Schizosaccharomyces pombe: one gene and its partner. The protein of the gene in region 1 interacts with the protein of each later gene in a biochemical or structural test. Each region holds a gene or a part of one and is shown in the gene's direction. Other genes may lie near its edges.

Region 1 (6,938 bases):
TTTTCTATTCAAACTTAAACTAAGCAATGGATTTGAGGAAATTTTGAGAAAAATCTACTAATTGGATATAGCAATCTCCAAAACCATCGCTTCCTCCATAATAAGGGTCATCAACGATTTTTGAAACTCCTGGACTAGCATATTCTCCAAAAAGCATGACTTTAGCACGGCTACCTTGAGGTTTAACACGATTAATGTTTCGCAAATTTGACGAATCCATTGCAAAAATGTAGTCAAAGTTTTTAAAATCAGACGTTGAAAGTTTCCTTGCCAAATGTTTGGTATGAATGCCATTCTTTTTAAGTACTTCGAGAGTTCGTGGATCAGGTCGATTTCCTACATGCCATGCACCAGTGCCACAGCTATCAATGGTGTCAAAACGTGCCTCGAGTCCAGCCTTTTCTACTTCATTTCGAAAAACTGCCTCAGCCATTGGACTTCTGCAAATGTTTCCCAAGCATACAAAAAGTACTTGAATATTCTTGGTCATAGTTTATAGTATATTCTTGGGATTTTTGATGAGTCAAAATTTCCTCTTCTATTTGTAATGTATAGATATTATAGAAGGTGTAAGTTTAAATGAAAGACAAGCGAATTTTTACCACAGTTAATTGGTAATAAAAAAGTTTGAACTTTTGGTAGGTGCACCTCCCGTTTTTAACAATATTGAAAAATACTAAAAAGTAACTACAATGTTTCCAAATATTTAAGGAATGTTGAATGTAAAACGAAAGTGATCGTATTTTCACGTTTCAAGGTAGTAGAGGAAAATGCAAAGACATGTCAAATTAGTGCAACCTCAATTGTCCATTACCAATTAATGTTGACTGTCACAATCTTTTATTTTTACTGATTACAATATATTGCATTTTATTTCTCATACATAACTTTTTTATTTTATTTTGTTTTAAGCATTTGCATACATTTTTTGGAATATCAGATATGAGTTTCTCTAGAAATCAAGTGCTAAAAGGACTAAAGACGAAAAAAGCCAAACCTAAGAAAAACCCGACTGTAGATGAACTCTTTGAAATAGCTATTGATCTAGAAGAAAGTGGGGATCGCTGGCGATTGGAACCTGCAAAGGTATGTACAAAGCTATAATGGTGAATTTCAAAAACGTTTGAACATGATCATTCATACGAATTGTAATATTAGTTTTGAGAAACAAATAGAATTTACGCTTTTTTGCGCCGAGTTCTCAATACTTGAGCACGTGAAATTAAAACTAACAAGCAATAGTGTTTAAGATTTTATCAAAAATCCCTTGAAACATATGATAGATATTTATTACAATGTCCGAATGATTTTGATGCTCGTTTTAATAAAGCAAGATTGCTACTCAATATGGCTACAAACTGCGATATGCTATACAAAGATTCACAAGTATGCCTCCAGAAAAGTATTGAGATGCATAAGCACGCCTTATTATTACAAGAGGCCCCAGATATTTGGTTCAACCTTGCGCAGGTTCATCTTAATTTGGCTGAGATTTGGGTGGATCTTGATCGCGAAGATTTGGCATATCCTGAAATCCAGCAAGCACTGCAATCCATTTCACATAGCATTGATTTACAAGAACGAGAAAGAATTGAATGGGAAAATACTATACAAACATCGTCGCAACAAAAATATGAAGAAATACCTGACATACAGGCTCGACGATTATACTTTATAGAAGCAGACAAAGAGGCATCGACATTAGTTACCGAAATTGCTTCTTTAGCATGCAGTTGCAAGTTACTTGAAGAATCAGATTTTGAGAAACTCTGTCAGATAATGCTACCGATTACGGAAAAACTCGATATATTAAAGCTAATGGACTGGTACTTGGCGAAAACCAAACGTTTAGTACTTGGTGGTAAAGAAAATGAGGTGGCATGGATTGATTTACTGCAAGTTTTTGACCATCAACTTAGCCAATTACCACAGCTAAACTTGCAAAACCCGTTGGATCCGAACTCGTCTGTTAAACCTTTGCATATTCAATTGCTGTGCGACAAAGCCGATGCATACATAGACTTTGCAGAGACGCTACTAGATTCCTGCGTATCTACAGAAGAAAGCGCATCTATTGAAATAATGACTAGAGCCTGGAATATGTTAGGAGTAGCTGCCAAAAGTTTAAAGATGGCTAACACTTACAATCCTAATCATGTAAGAATACTCATTTCTAGAGCTGACTTAGAGATTCAACGTGCAGCTATCCCCATCATGGTAGCTCAAAACTCCAAACTTGTGTTGTATAAAAATGCCAAAGTATTATACGAAAAAGCATTCCGTGATTATTCAACCAAAAAGACAACAAGAACGTTTGCGGAGATTGTCTTAAAGCATTATCAACTACAGAAATTGACCAACCCAGAAACGATTAAGATGCTGGACTCCTTAACTGAGGTTGCTCAAGAAGACATTCTCAATACCATTTAAAGAAACAGACGTTTCTTACTTAATTTGGCAGGCTAATTAGTGAATCCAATTATAAATATAAAGTTTTACTTTGTTTCATTACTTGTATCATCAAATTCATGTTTCGCTAGCCGAATTTTTGCATCGTATTGTTTCATACGCTCCAAATGATCTTGCTTCAGAGCATTCAGATGAAATGCTTCGCTACCGATGATGAGCCATAATAGCCCGAACGTATACGTTGATGACCAACGTAACATGGAAAAAATTGACTTTTAACTAAAAAAAACTGTTTCTAATATCTTTGGTGTGCAAGTTCAGACTCAGTATTTGGAGTAGCTGCTGTAATTAATCGATATAATATAAATCACAAATGATTGAGCCTTTTAAAGGCGTTGAACACTTAAGAATCAAAACTCCAAAATACCGAAAGACAAAGAGAAAAAGAAAATCAATATTTTTCGCTCGAAATAAGGATTACCATTAAGACAAGTTTTGACTGTACGGAACTGTGTAGGATAACGGTAAATCAATTTTCTGCAATGCTTTGATATTTATTGACTTTCATTAAATCTCTGTAAATCAGAATTTCTATTGTCTATCTAGTTTTGTCCATTAAATCAGAAATTATTCAGTTTCTATTATTGTTACTTTTTATTTATAATAAGGATTTGTTTAATTCAACCGAATAATGCTAGTTGGTTCTTAAAGTCATACTCCTTATTTCCTTCATTCCCAGCCTACTCAGTCTTTGCCCGCAAAAAGATATTTCAAGGCCTATTTGATTTAACTCATTTATTCAAATTTCACTTTTTGTTAACTGAGTTTTACTTTTGTTCAACCTTGACAGCTCAGCGAAATTAGTGTAAATAAATAAAATCAAAAGAAGCGCTAATTCAAGAGGCCTTTTTGATTCTACTTTTTACTGTGTATACAACTTATAAATGACATTATATCCTTGACAAATTTGCTTACGTTTGTTTCAACTTTTATTAACCCCTCGAAATTAAATTATTATTATGCTCATGGCATTGTTGATCAAACATTGAGATTTGATTAAGCATATAAAATAATAATCATAAGAAATAAAACACTATGATAAATATAATTCTTCTAAATGTATACTAAAAAAAAAAATCCTTGAGAGTTCGCCTTTTCTCTAATTTTAACGGCACCAAACGTGGGTCATTAAAGACTAACATCTCCTTTGTTCTCAGTATTCCATGCCTATGTTAAATTCTGAGACTTACCAAGAGCTTGAATATCAACAATCATAGGTTACTTCCTATATGTCTATTTATAGATTTTTTTACAACTAATTGTCAGATACATTTACTTAGAGAATTCTTAGCTTTCCCTTTTGAATATTTCAAGTCTTAGCATTTAGTGACTGATTTAGACTCCTTTTTTATGACTTGCTGATATCCTCGCCTTACGGTGTATAAAATTCATATTTACCGCTATTGCAGTAAGGGCAGCAGTTTTTTTCATTTCTTAATTCTTCCGTACTTTACTTTACAGCATAACTATATCTTATTTGATCATTTGCTCTGTTAACGATGTTCTCTTCGAAGGAAAATTCCTTAGGTGCTAAACGTGCCCCATTTTCATCAAATACAACATCTTCTCAAAGAGTTGCTGCCCAAGCCGCTAAACGAGCATCTTCTGGTGCATTTGCGCAACTTACTTCTTCCCAAATTCAAGAACTTAAAGAGGCTTTTGCCCTATTAGACAAAGATGGTGACGGTAATATTGGAAGAGAGGATGTCAAAACCATGCTTACTTCTTTGAATCAGGATGCCTCCGAAGATTCAATCAATCACATGTTTGAGTCAATAAATCCGCCTATTAATTTAGCCGCTTTTCTCACTGCGATGGGTAGTATGCTGTGTCGAATCTCCCCCAGAAATGATCTACTAGAAGCGTTCTCTACATTCGATGATACTCAATCCGGCAAAATTCCAATTTCCACTATGAGAGATGCTTTGTCAAGTATGGGTGATAGAATGGATCCTCAAGAAGTCGAGTCTATTTTACGCTCGTACACCAGTCATGGTGTATTCTATTACGAGAAATTCGTTGATGCTATTGCTGGGTCAAAAGATAGCAATTGAGTTAAGAGCAGCCAGATATGTTTCACATTCTTCCCTCTAATACTTTATCTTTTTAACCTGAGCCATTTCCCTTAGACGAATTTTCCTCTTCTCTTTTAACTTTTTATGAAAGCATTTGATACATTTATGTTCGTTGTGACCTATACTTTATGTGTCTCAATACTTAGCTACTCTCTGCGACTTTACTATTATTTGCAGTGTTTAGTGAGTTAGAGCTTAGGCTTAATGTCATTAACCATATTTTCATTCGAGGGTTCAATTAATGTATGAATAAATCTATATTAGCCCAGCATACCTATGTTCCTCATCAAAATTATCCTACCTTGTAAAACAGCTCTCACATGACTAGAAAAAAATAACTTTTAAGCACCAACTTGTACTTGTTAGTAGTATAAACTACATTATTCGAAAACAAAATTTGATGTACTAATAAGTATCCATAAACTTTAATATTACTAATCAACATTCCATATTATAACAACTTCCAAACAACCTGTAATCTAGTGTGTATTAAGAAAAATCGTGTAGAAAGAAATTTTTGAATGACAACAGACACTAGAATCGTTAACAATGTATAGGATAACTTGCTTTAATCCAAGAAAAACATTATATGCATAAATTTTGGAAAGACACATTAGATGCATTTGATTTAATCGACTTCCTCCATCTTGCTCTCAGCATTGTTTTCAGCAGCGACGGATTCGGTAGAAATTTCCTCAATAGGAGCCTCCTCCTCTTCGTCAATGCTAAGACCAAGAGAAATAAGACGGTTGATACGTTGAGCATAAGCACTAGGGTCATCAAGAGTGAAACCAGAGGACAACAAGGCGGTCTCATACAAAATAGTAGCAAGATCCTTCACAGAGCGGTCTTCGGCACCATTCTCCTCAACCTTCTTCTTGAGCTCAGCAATGATGGGAGACTTGGGGTTAATCTCAAAAGTCTTGCGGCTAGACATATAGGCACTCATAGAAGTATCACGAAGGGCTTGAGCCTTCATGATACGTTCCATGTTAGCAGACCAACCATATTGACCGGTAGTTAACAAGCAAGGAGAACCAACAATCTTGTTAGAAACAACAACCTTTTCAACCTTGTCACCCAAAATGGTCTTAAGTTGCTTAGCAAACTCCTCATACTCTTTTTCGAGCTTCTCGCGAGCAGCCTTCTCCTCGTCAGTCTCTTCCAACTCAAGACCATCCTTAGTAATGTTAACCAATTTCTTGCCCTCGAATTCCTTGAGTTGAGTGACAGCGTACTCATCAATGGGGTCAACCATGAAGAGAACATCAAACTTCTTGGCACGGAAGATTTCCAAGAAGGGAGAGTTCTCAACGGCTTGCTTAGATTCACCAGTGATGAAATAAATGTTCTTTTGATGTTCGGGCATCTTAGTGATGTAGTCCTCAAGACTGATAAGATCATCAGGGGAGTTAAGGGAGTTGTAACGCAAAAGCTTGGCTAAAGCAGGGCGGTTAGCAGCATCCTCATGGATACCAAGCTTCAAATTCTTGCTGAAAGCATCGTAGAAAGTCTTGAAGTTCTCCTTGTCCTCGGCAATCTCGTTGAACATATCAAGACAACGACGGACAAGGTTCTTACGAATAACCTTCATGATCTTGTTTTGTTGAAGCATCTCACGAGACAAGTTCAAGGGCAAGTCCTCAGAATCAACAACACCCTTAATGAAACCCAACCATTCAGGAATCAACTCTTCACAGTCGTCGGTAATGAAAACACGGCGAACATAGAGCTTGATGTTGTTCTTCTTACGCTTGGCCTCAAAAAGGTCCATAGGAGCGCGGCGGGGGACGAAAAGAATGGCACGGAATTCCAATTGACCTTCAACGCTGAAGTGCTTGACGGCCAAATGGTCTTCCCAGTCGTTAGTCAAAGACTTGTAGAAAGAGGCATACTCTTCCTTGGTAACTTCACTGGGGTTGCGAGTCCAAATGGGCTTGGTCTTGTTCAACTCCTCAGTCTCAGTGGTGGTCTCCTTGACCTTCTTGGTCTTCTTCTCCTTCTTCTCAGATTCATCATCAACCTCCTCAATCTTAGGAGCCTTATCGTCTTCTTCATTCTTAACTTCTTCGGTCTCTTCTTCTTCAGGGACCTCCTTCTCAACCTCACGGGTAACAACTAATTGAATGGGGTAAGAGATGAACTCACTATGTTTCTTGACGGTATCTTTGATAGTCTTTTCCTCGAGGTATTGAAGTTGGTCTTCTTTCATGAAGAGACGAATCTCGGTACCACGTAACAAGCGAGGTCCATCGGTGTCCAAAGTGACGGTGAAGCTACCACCAGCAGAGGATTCCCAGATGTATTGCTCATCGTCATTATGCTTACTTACGACTTGGACCTTGTCGGCAACCAAGTATGCAGAGTAGAAACCAACACCGAATTGACCAATCA
Region 2 (6,481 bases), on another chromosome or scaffold:
ATTCGAAAAACGATGGAAAATGGAGAATAAAGGAAATATGGAGCTGTCAAATTCTTATGGTTTTTATAAAAATGGTCGTAGGGTTTCATTCGTAAAAGCCACTAGTGAACAATCGTTGGACGAAGCCACTTTTATTGAAAAAGGATCGGCACAAGCATTTTATCATTCGTTATTTGAAAATGATAGGGATAATTCGCATACTATGAACAGCAAGAGGGACGAAGCTGGTTTTGCTTGTGAAGTGTGTCAAATATACATTCCAAATAGCAAAAAAATTAATCATTTTAAATCAATGACTCACCTTCTTTCTTCACAACATATTTCAAACAAATTTCAACCCCATTTATTAAAACCAAAAAGCCTTGGTTATCGAGTTCTTTCTCAGTATGGTTGGTCTCCCCAAGGAGATACTGCTGGATTGGGTTTGGAAAATCAGGGTCGTCGTGCCCCGGTTAGAGCATTTCGTGTAAAAAATGATACGATTGGACTCGGTACCAAGATTGATTTGGAGAAAGTTGCAGTAAATAAATGTCGCAAAGGCAAGCGTCAGTGCCAAATCCAACACTCAAAGGATGTACGCCTTAAAGAAGCTTTAATTAAACATTTTTCGTCTAATTGAGTTTATCCTTCTTGCATATGTCCAAACGTCATTAACAATTTTAAGTGTGCTAAATTTGTCCCATTGAATGTACATATTTTATAGTGTTTAGTCGATTGGTTATAAATCTATAGTGTTCAGTTAAAACACAATTGGATGTTTTTTTTTCATGAGGTTTTGTTGTGGAAACACATTAATTAAGGATAGCATCACCCTCTTTTCTTATGAAATATTTTTTCTTTTAGTCTTTGTAACATGGAGGGCTGCCTGTTTTGAAATTTTGATTGTTGAGGTACAAACCGCCGAGTAAGCAAATTAAATATACCCCCAAATGTAAGCGCTATAACTGTTGAAGTAAATATGATTACGTTATACGGCATACTAAAATCTGGTGTAGGAATGAACATTAGAAGCGCAGCAGTTCGTAGGCTACAAAGCTTGGTATTGTTTTCATCAAACACGCTGATTATTGCTGGAGGAAGATTGTAACCACGATTTGCATCGGGAGGATATTCGTCTAGGCGTAAGGGTGTTTTTTCTACATTAAAATGAACAATCAGATTTGTATGTGGAGGTATTGAAAACTGGATTTCCATCATCGTGCCTGCCTTGCGATCTCTTAACGGTTGATAATACAATTTTTCAATAAAATCTTTAGTATTAATACGTGTTCCATTCAAAGTGATAGTTAAAGTATGTAAGTACACGCGCACGAACCAAGGAAATTTTTCAAAATAAACAATAGTTCGAGGAGAAGATGAGGGATTGTAAATTGTAGAAGACAAACTTCCCCAATGGTTGCCATCGTTCGAAAGGGAACGATCAACAGTGACTGTATGATTATCGGAAGTAGATTGAATAGGGATTTGAATATTTGCAGCTTCGTCTAAACTAAAAGTGTCAATTTTATCGCCATTTGAAACAAAAACGTCAGAAAAAGTTGAGGAAAGTAGACATCTTTCCTTAGGCACTTTATGAAAAAGATCATCCACGGTATGATGTTCGGTTGAATAACCAGACATTAGACAATGCAGAGAATCCATATCCTCATCATGGCAATATTCAGAAGGAGGTTGAAAAGTTGTTTTGCCCTTTCTCCTTCCGTTCCTTTCTACATCTACCACCGCTTGAATTATAATGCCCATCTTGACTGAAGCAAGAGACTGATTTTCTGAAGGATAAACATCTATGGAAAAGGAGTGCCAATCCGTATCAAAAAACAAATGGCTATCCAATAGACTGGCAATTCCTGCTTTTCTCTTACAAGGGAGAAGCTTGAAAAGCGGAGATAAGTTTTCAGTACAGACATCTTCTTGAGGGAGCGAAGCAAAATATTGAGTGTTATTGGAAAACGAAAAGGAGCCTGGATATGAAAGTTGTGGTTGATAAGTGTTGGAACTATCAATATAATTTAGTGAAGCACAAAGTAAGCCAGAAAGTTGGTTAGTCAATTTCAACCAATACTTCATGCTGGGATCATTCGCCATGAAAGCCCAAACTTCAAAACCCAATCCACCCGAATAAAAACCATTGTCGGGAGACTCTTTCCAATTTTCATAGTCCCATCGACCACGGGTTGCTCGAATATGTAGCTCTGAAACCTGACATTCGTCCATTACTCGGGCTATAGATAAAGGAAACAAAGAGAAGCTTGATTCGGAGAATACTGAAGAATGTGTACTGTCAGTTGATGCACCGATTTCAAATGCGAATGAAACATATGAGTAGCGACTTGAAAAGCTCTTTATGAATAGAGATTCATCATAAGTCTCGTCTATAGTTGCTGCCGTTAATGAAAAGGAAAGCAAGCTGTAAGCAAATAATAATAAACATCCGTTTTTTTTCATATCTAACAAAGAAACCTGACAATTTAAAAGTATTTGAGTATAATAAATGAAAATTAGAAAACTAATGCGATACGATGTATTGTGACCAAATGAGAACCTAACAATTGATTTTCTTTCGAATAGAAGGATCTTTTAAGAGAAATAGGAAACAGTTAATGGACAAACTGATCTCGATGTGAATTTAAGTAGTACTTTTCGAAGTTATTCGTGAATCAGATTTAACTTTCATGAGTACAATCACAGTACCAGATAAAAGTTATTGCAGCGTTCACTTAATAAAAAAAATGCAAGAATGGTAATTAAACAAAAAGCCAGTACACAATTGTCGAATGAAATAGAATATCTCAGTAGGTTATGGGATGTTAAAGGCGAATTCCAAAAAGAACTTGCTTTTTCAAATTCACTGATTTAAGACTTTATAACAAAAAGATCTTTTTTATAAATCCTAACTGATTAGTGAAATTAATATAAGATAATATGCTTGCTGGTGAATATTGAATCAAAACTTGCTACTGAAGTGATAGTAGCATTCAACCCTACGCTTAGAACTTGATCTTCACCAACAACCCAGTAACCTACTTTATACTTCTTTATGCGCCAGCGAGTATACCACCGAAGTCTTATAAGTTTTGTTTAATTTAGAACTATACATTAAACTATCAAGAAAATTATCCAAGTAAACAGTGCTGACGCGACCTTCGTGTTCTAGTTTATCATTTATAGAGATTTAGTCAATTGAGTAGATTCTTTGATATTCTTTTCTTTTTGAAAAGGATCTATTTCAAAAGTTTCCTTTTCGGTTGTTAATCTGTACAACTGATTCCTCATAAAAGTGGCAGCGGCACAAGTTACTGTGCCCTTTGCGCCTCTTACTAGGAGAAAAATCCTTTTCAACTTAAGTGCTCTATTCTTGTCTTTTTGTTTTTTTTTTGCATACTGAAACTTATTCCTTCGTTCTGCAACACATTTGCCATAGTCCTATTTCTGTTTTTCTTTACCCTTTTCGTTAATAAATTTATTTACTATGGAAAGAGGGACTTTACAACCTCGAAAGAAGGCTCCAAATGGCTATGGAATAACCCCTATTGTTGCTCATAAAACTGGTGAACCTGTACGTTATGAAGTAGAAGATGATTTGAGAAAACTGAAGCCCAGCAGGACAGCTCCAAAGCCTCCAGCTATAAATACTAATCTTGCTGAAGACACCTTTTCCGGTTTCCCTTTATCTCAATCCCGTACAACTGTATCTAGGGTTTCACTTGGTTCTCGTCAGCATAGTAGCAGTTCCATTAGAAAACTTCAGACTAATGTTTCTGATGTGCGTTCATATGATGAAAGGAACCAAAAGAAGTCTGCGTTTGAAAACTTTGTCTCGAGCATGAGTTCGTTCTTAACTGGGGGTGGTAGCAGTCCTACAAGTTCCTATGGGTCAGGCTCTGCCAGCCCTCGCAAATCGACTGTCATCTCTTCTCCATTTGATCCGAAGCATGTCACTCACGTTGGTTTTAATTATGATACTGGGGAATTTACTGGAATGCCTACTGAATGGCAGGCACTACTAAAAGTCAGTGGCATTACAAAGTCGGAACAAGTACAACATCCACAGGCCGTTTTGGACGCTATGGCTTTTTATTCCCAATCCAAGAAATATCTTGAGGAGGGAGCAAAGCCACCCTTTCCCCGTGAAAGTACTGAGAAGCCTTTACTCTCCGTTTCAGCGTTGTCTAGTAGTTCTCATCTTCAACCCACCTCTGCTACAAGCTCATCTTCTCGTTTGTATCCTTCTCGACCTGCTCCCACGCCTCCTGCAAGTTCTTCATCGTCTCCTTTATTATCATCACAAACAGTTAAAACTACTACCTCTAATGCTTCTCGACAACCTTCTCCATTAGTTTCCAGCAAGTCAACCGATAATATAATCCGAAGTCATTCCCCTGTTTTGTTAACGCCTCAAACCTTAAGTACATCTGAAACGAAACATATCCGTCCGAATAACTCGACACCATATCAACGGAGAGCCGAGACTAGCACCAAACCGAAAGCTGTTGCGACTCCTCAAAAAGTGGAAGCACCAAGTGCCCCTCGACTTCAAAAGCGTGCACCTCGACAACAATCCAATGATTCTGCTGTATTGGCAAAGTTACAGTCTATATGCAATCCCAAAAATCCAACACTTTTATATCGAAATTTTGTTAAAATTGGTCAAGGTGCTTCTGGTGATGTGTATTCTGCTCGCCAAGTCGGCACTAATCTTTCTGTTGCCATCAAGAAAATGAACATTAATCAACAGCCAAAAAAGGAATTTATTGTCAATGAAATACTCGTGATGAAGTCACATCATCACAAAAACATTGTCAATTTTATTGACACTTTCTTCTATAAATCAGAGTTGTGGATGGTAATGGAATACATGCGCGGTGGCAGTCTTACTGAAGTGGTTACCAATAACACTCTTTCAGAAGGTCAGATAGCTGCAATATGTAAGGAAACGTTGGAAGGCTTACAGCATCTCCATGAAAATGGCATTGTTCACCGTGACATAAAATCAGACAATATCCTTCTCTCACTTCAAGGAGATATTAAACTTACCGATTTTGGGTTTTGTGCTCAGATCGACAGTAACATGACGAAACGAACGACGATGGTTGGTACTCCATATTGGATGGCTCCAGAAGTCGTTACTAGAAAGGAATATGGTTTCAAAGTTGATGTCTGGAGTCTTGGTATTATGGCTATAGAGATGGTAGAGGGAGAGCCCCCGTATTTAAACGAAAATCCTTTACGTGCTCTATATTTAATTGCTACTATTGGTACTCCAAAGATTAGTCGGCCAGAATTGTTAAGTTCTGTTTTCCATGATTTTCTTTCTAAATCTTTAACTGTTAATCCTAAGCAACGCCCTAGCTCCGGTGAGCTTTTAAGGCATCCGTTTCTTAAGCAAGCCGTTCCAGTTTCATCCCTTATCCCTTTGATAAAATCCATACATCATTCTGGTAAATAGGCTAACTTGTCAAAAAAGTTTTTGAGTAAACATCTGCTGTTAGAAGTTTCGGAATATCCTCCAACGTTTGCTTAAAAACTGTTTCTTCTCACATTGTTTATTTATCGTTAATATGCTTTTGCAGTTCGTTAGAATATATGTACCTGAGTTTATTTTTTTGCCTCCTCCACTAAAATCCATATCCGCAGGTTGGGCAGATTCAAACAGAGTACATTTTAACTACTTTTTTGCTTTACTTTAATTCCTTTTTCTAGTGCATACTTTACTTATCTGTTCCTTTTTTTTTGTTTTTTTCTTACTGCCAAGAATGATCTCAGTGACACTTGGATAATTTTTATAATAAATGAGACAATGCTTCTTTCTAAAAGTCTCAACTTTTTAATATTCGCAATGCATTATAAAAAAACTAAAAGGAAGACTAACTTATCAAAGTATTCAAAATGTAAGTACATGATTCTGAGATTGATCTTGAATCAGTCAAAATAGGTTTGAATCTTTTAAAGCGATGTTTCAATTTCAATTATGTGGAATCTCAAAGTGAAACGCCTGCTGGAATATTTCACAAAATTTTTGATCTACTAAAATTAGTACAAATACGTAGAAAACTTCAAATAATTAAATGGACTATGATTGTAGCGTAGTTCATGAGCTTAAGAAAATTGTCAACATTAAACTGCGAGACTTAATAAAGAGAGAGCGCACTTAGCATTTAAATGTCAAGCCAAAGCAATAGTGAATTTGAGGAGTCTCGTTATACATGGGTTATTACTACTCAACAGCAGACTATAGATTTAGGCAGCAGCCTACTTCTTAAGCATTGTCTCGAAACCAAAGTAACTGGTCTTTAAGTTTCCTTTTGACGACTTCCAATTATTTCAAACTCTTTTCTCGGAGATCGTAAATCTATCTGTGATTGGGTCTACTGGTTTTAGAAAACGGCTATATGCATCGTTTTATAACTATATAATTAAGATCAAGTTCTGCAGTAACTAAGTTCGCCTTACCTTGAGAAAACTTTTAAAATATTGTTCAGCA

What was found.
Region 2: of the proteins of rlc1 (region 1) and shk1, one has a biochemical effect on the other in vitro, tested with the Schizosaccharomyces pombe proteins (one study listed by BioGRID).

The regions. Positions count from the first base shown.
Region 1 is NC_003424.3:3,883,602-3,890,539, forward strand, and holds rlc1 (myosin II regulatory light chain Rlc1), read left to right. Parts: upstream 1-3,660; 5' UTR 3,661-3,968; coding exon 3,969-4,523; 3' UTR 4,524-4,896; downstream 4,897-6,938. Other genes in the region: protein tyrosine phosphatase Stp1, read right to left, coding at 20-490; SPOM_SPAC926.02 (uncharacterized protein), read left to right, coding at 943-1,086, 1,243-2,430; protein Ina22, read right to left, coding at 2,496-2,669; Hsp90 chaperone, read right to left, coding at 5,173-6,938.
Region 2 is NC_003423.3:3,901,613-3,908,093, forward strand, and holds shk1 (PAK-like kinase Shk1), read left to right. Parts: upstream 1-3,003; 5' UTR 3,004-3,469; coding exon 3,470-5,446; 3' UTR 5,447-5,981; downstream 5,982-6,481. Other genes in the region: SPOM_SPBC1604.16C (G-patch type RNA-binding protein), read left to right, coding at 20-619; gpi16 (pig-T family GPI synthesis protein), read right to left, coding at 808-2,445. UniProt on the Schizosaccharomyces pombe protein: MAP4K component of the MAPK pathway required for the mating pheromone response. Phosphorylates histone H2B to form H2BS10ph. Phosphorylates tea1. Required for skb1-dependent mitotic inhibitory function. Regulates microtubule dynamics and cell polarity.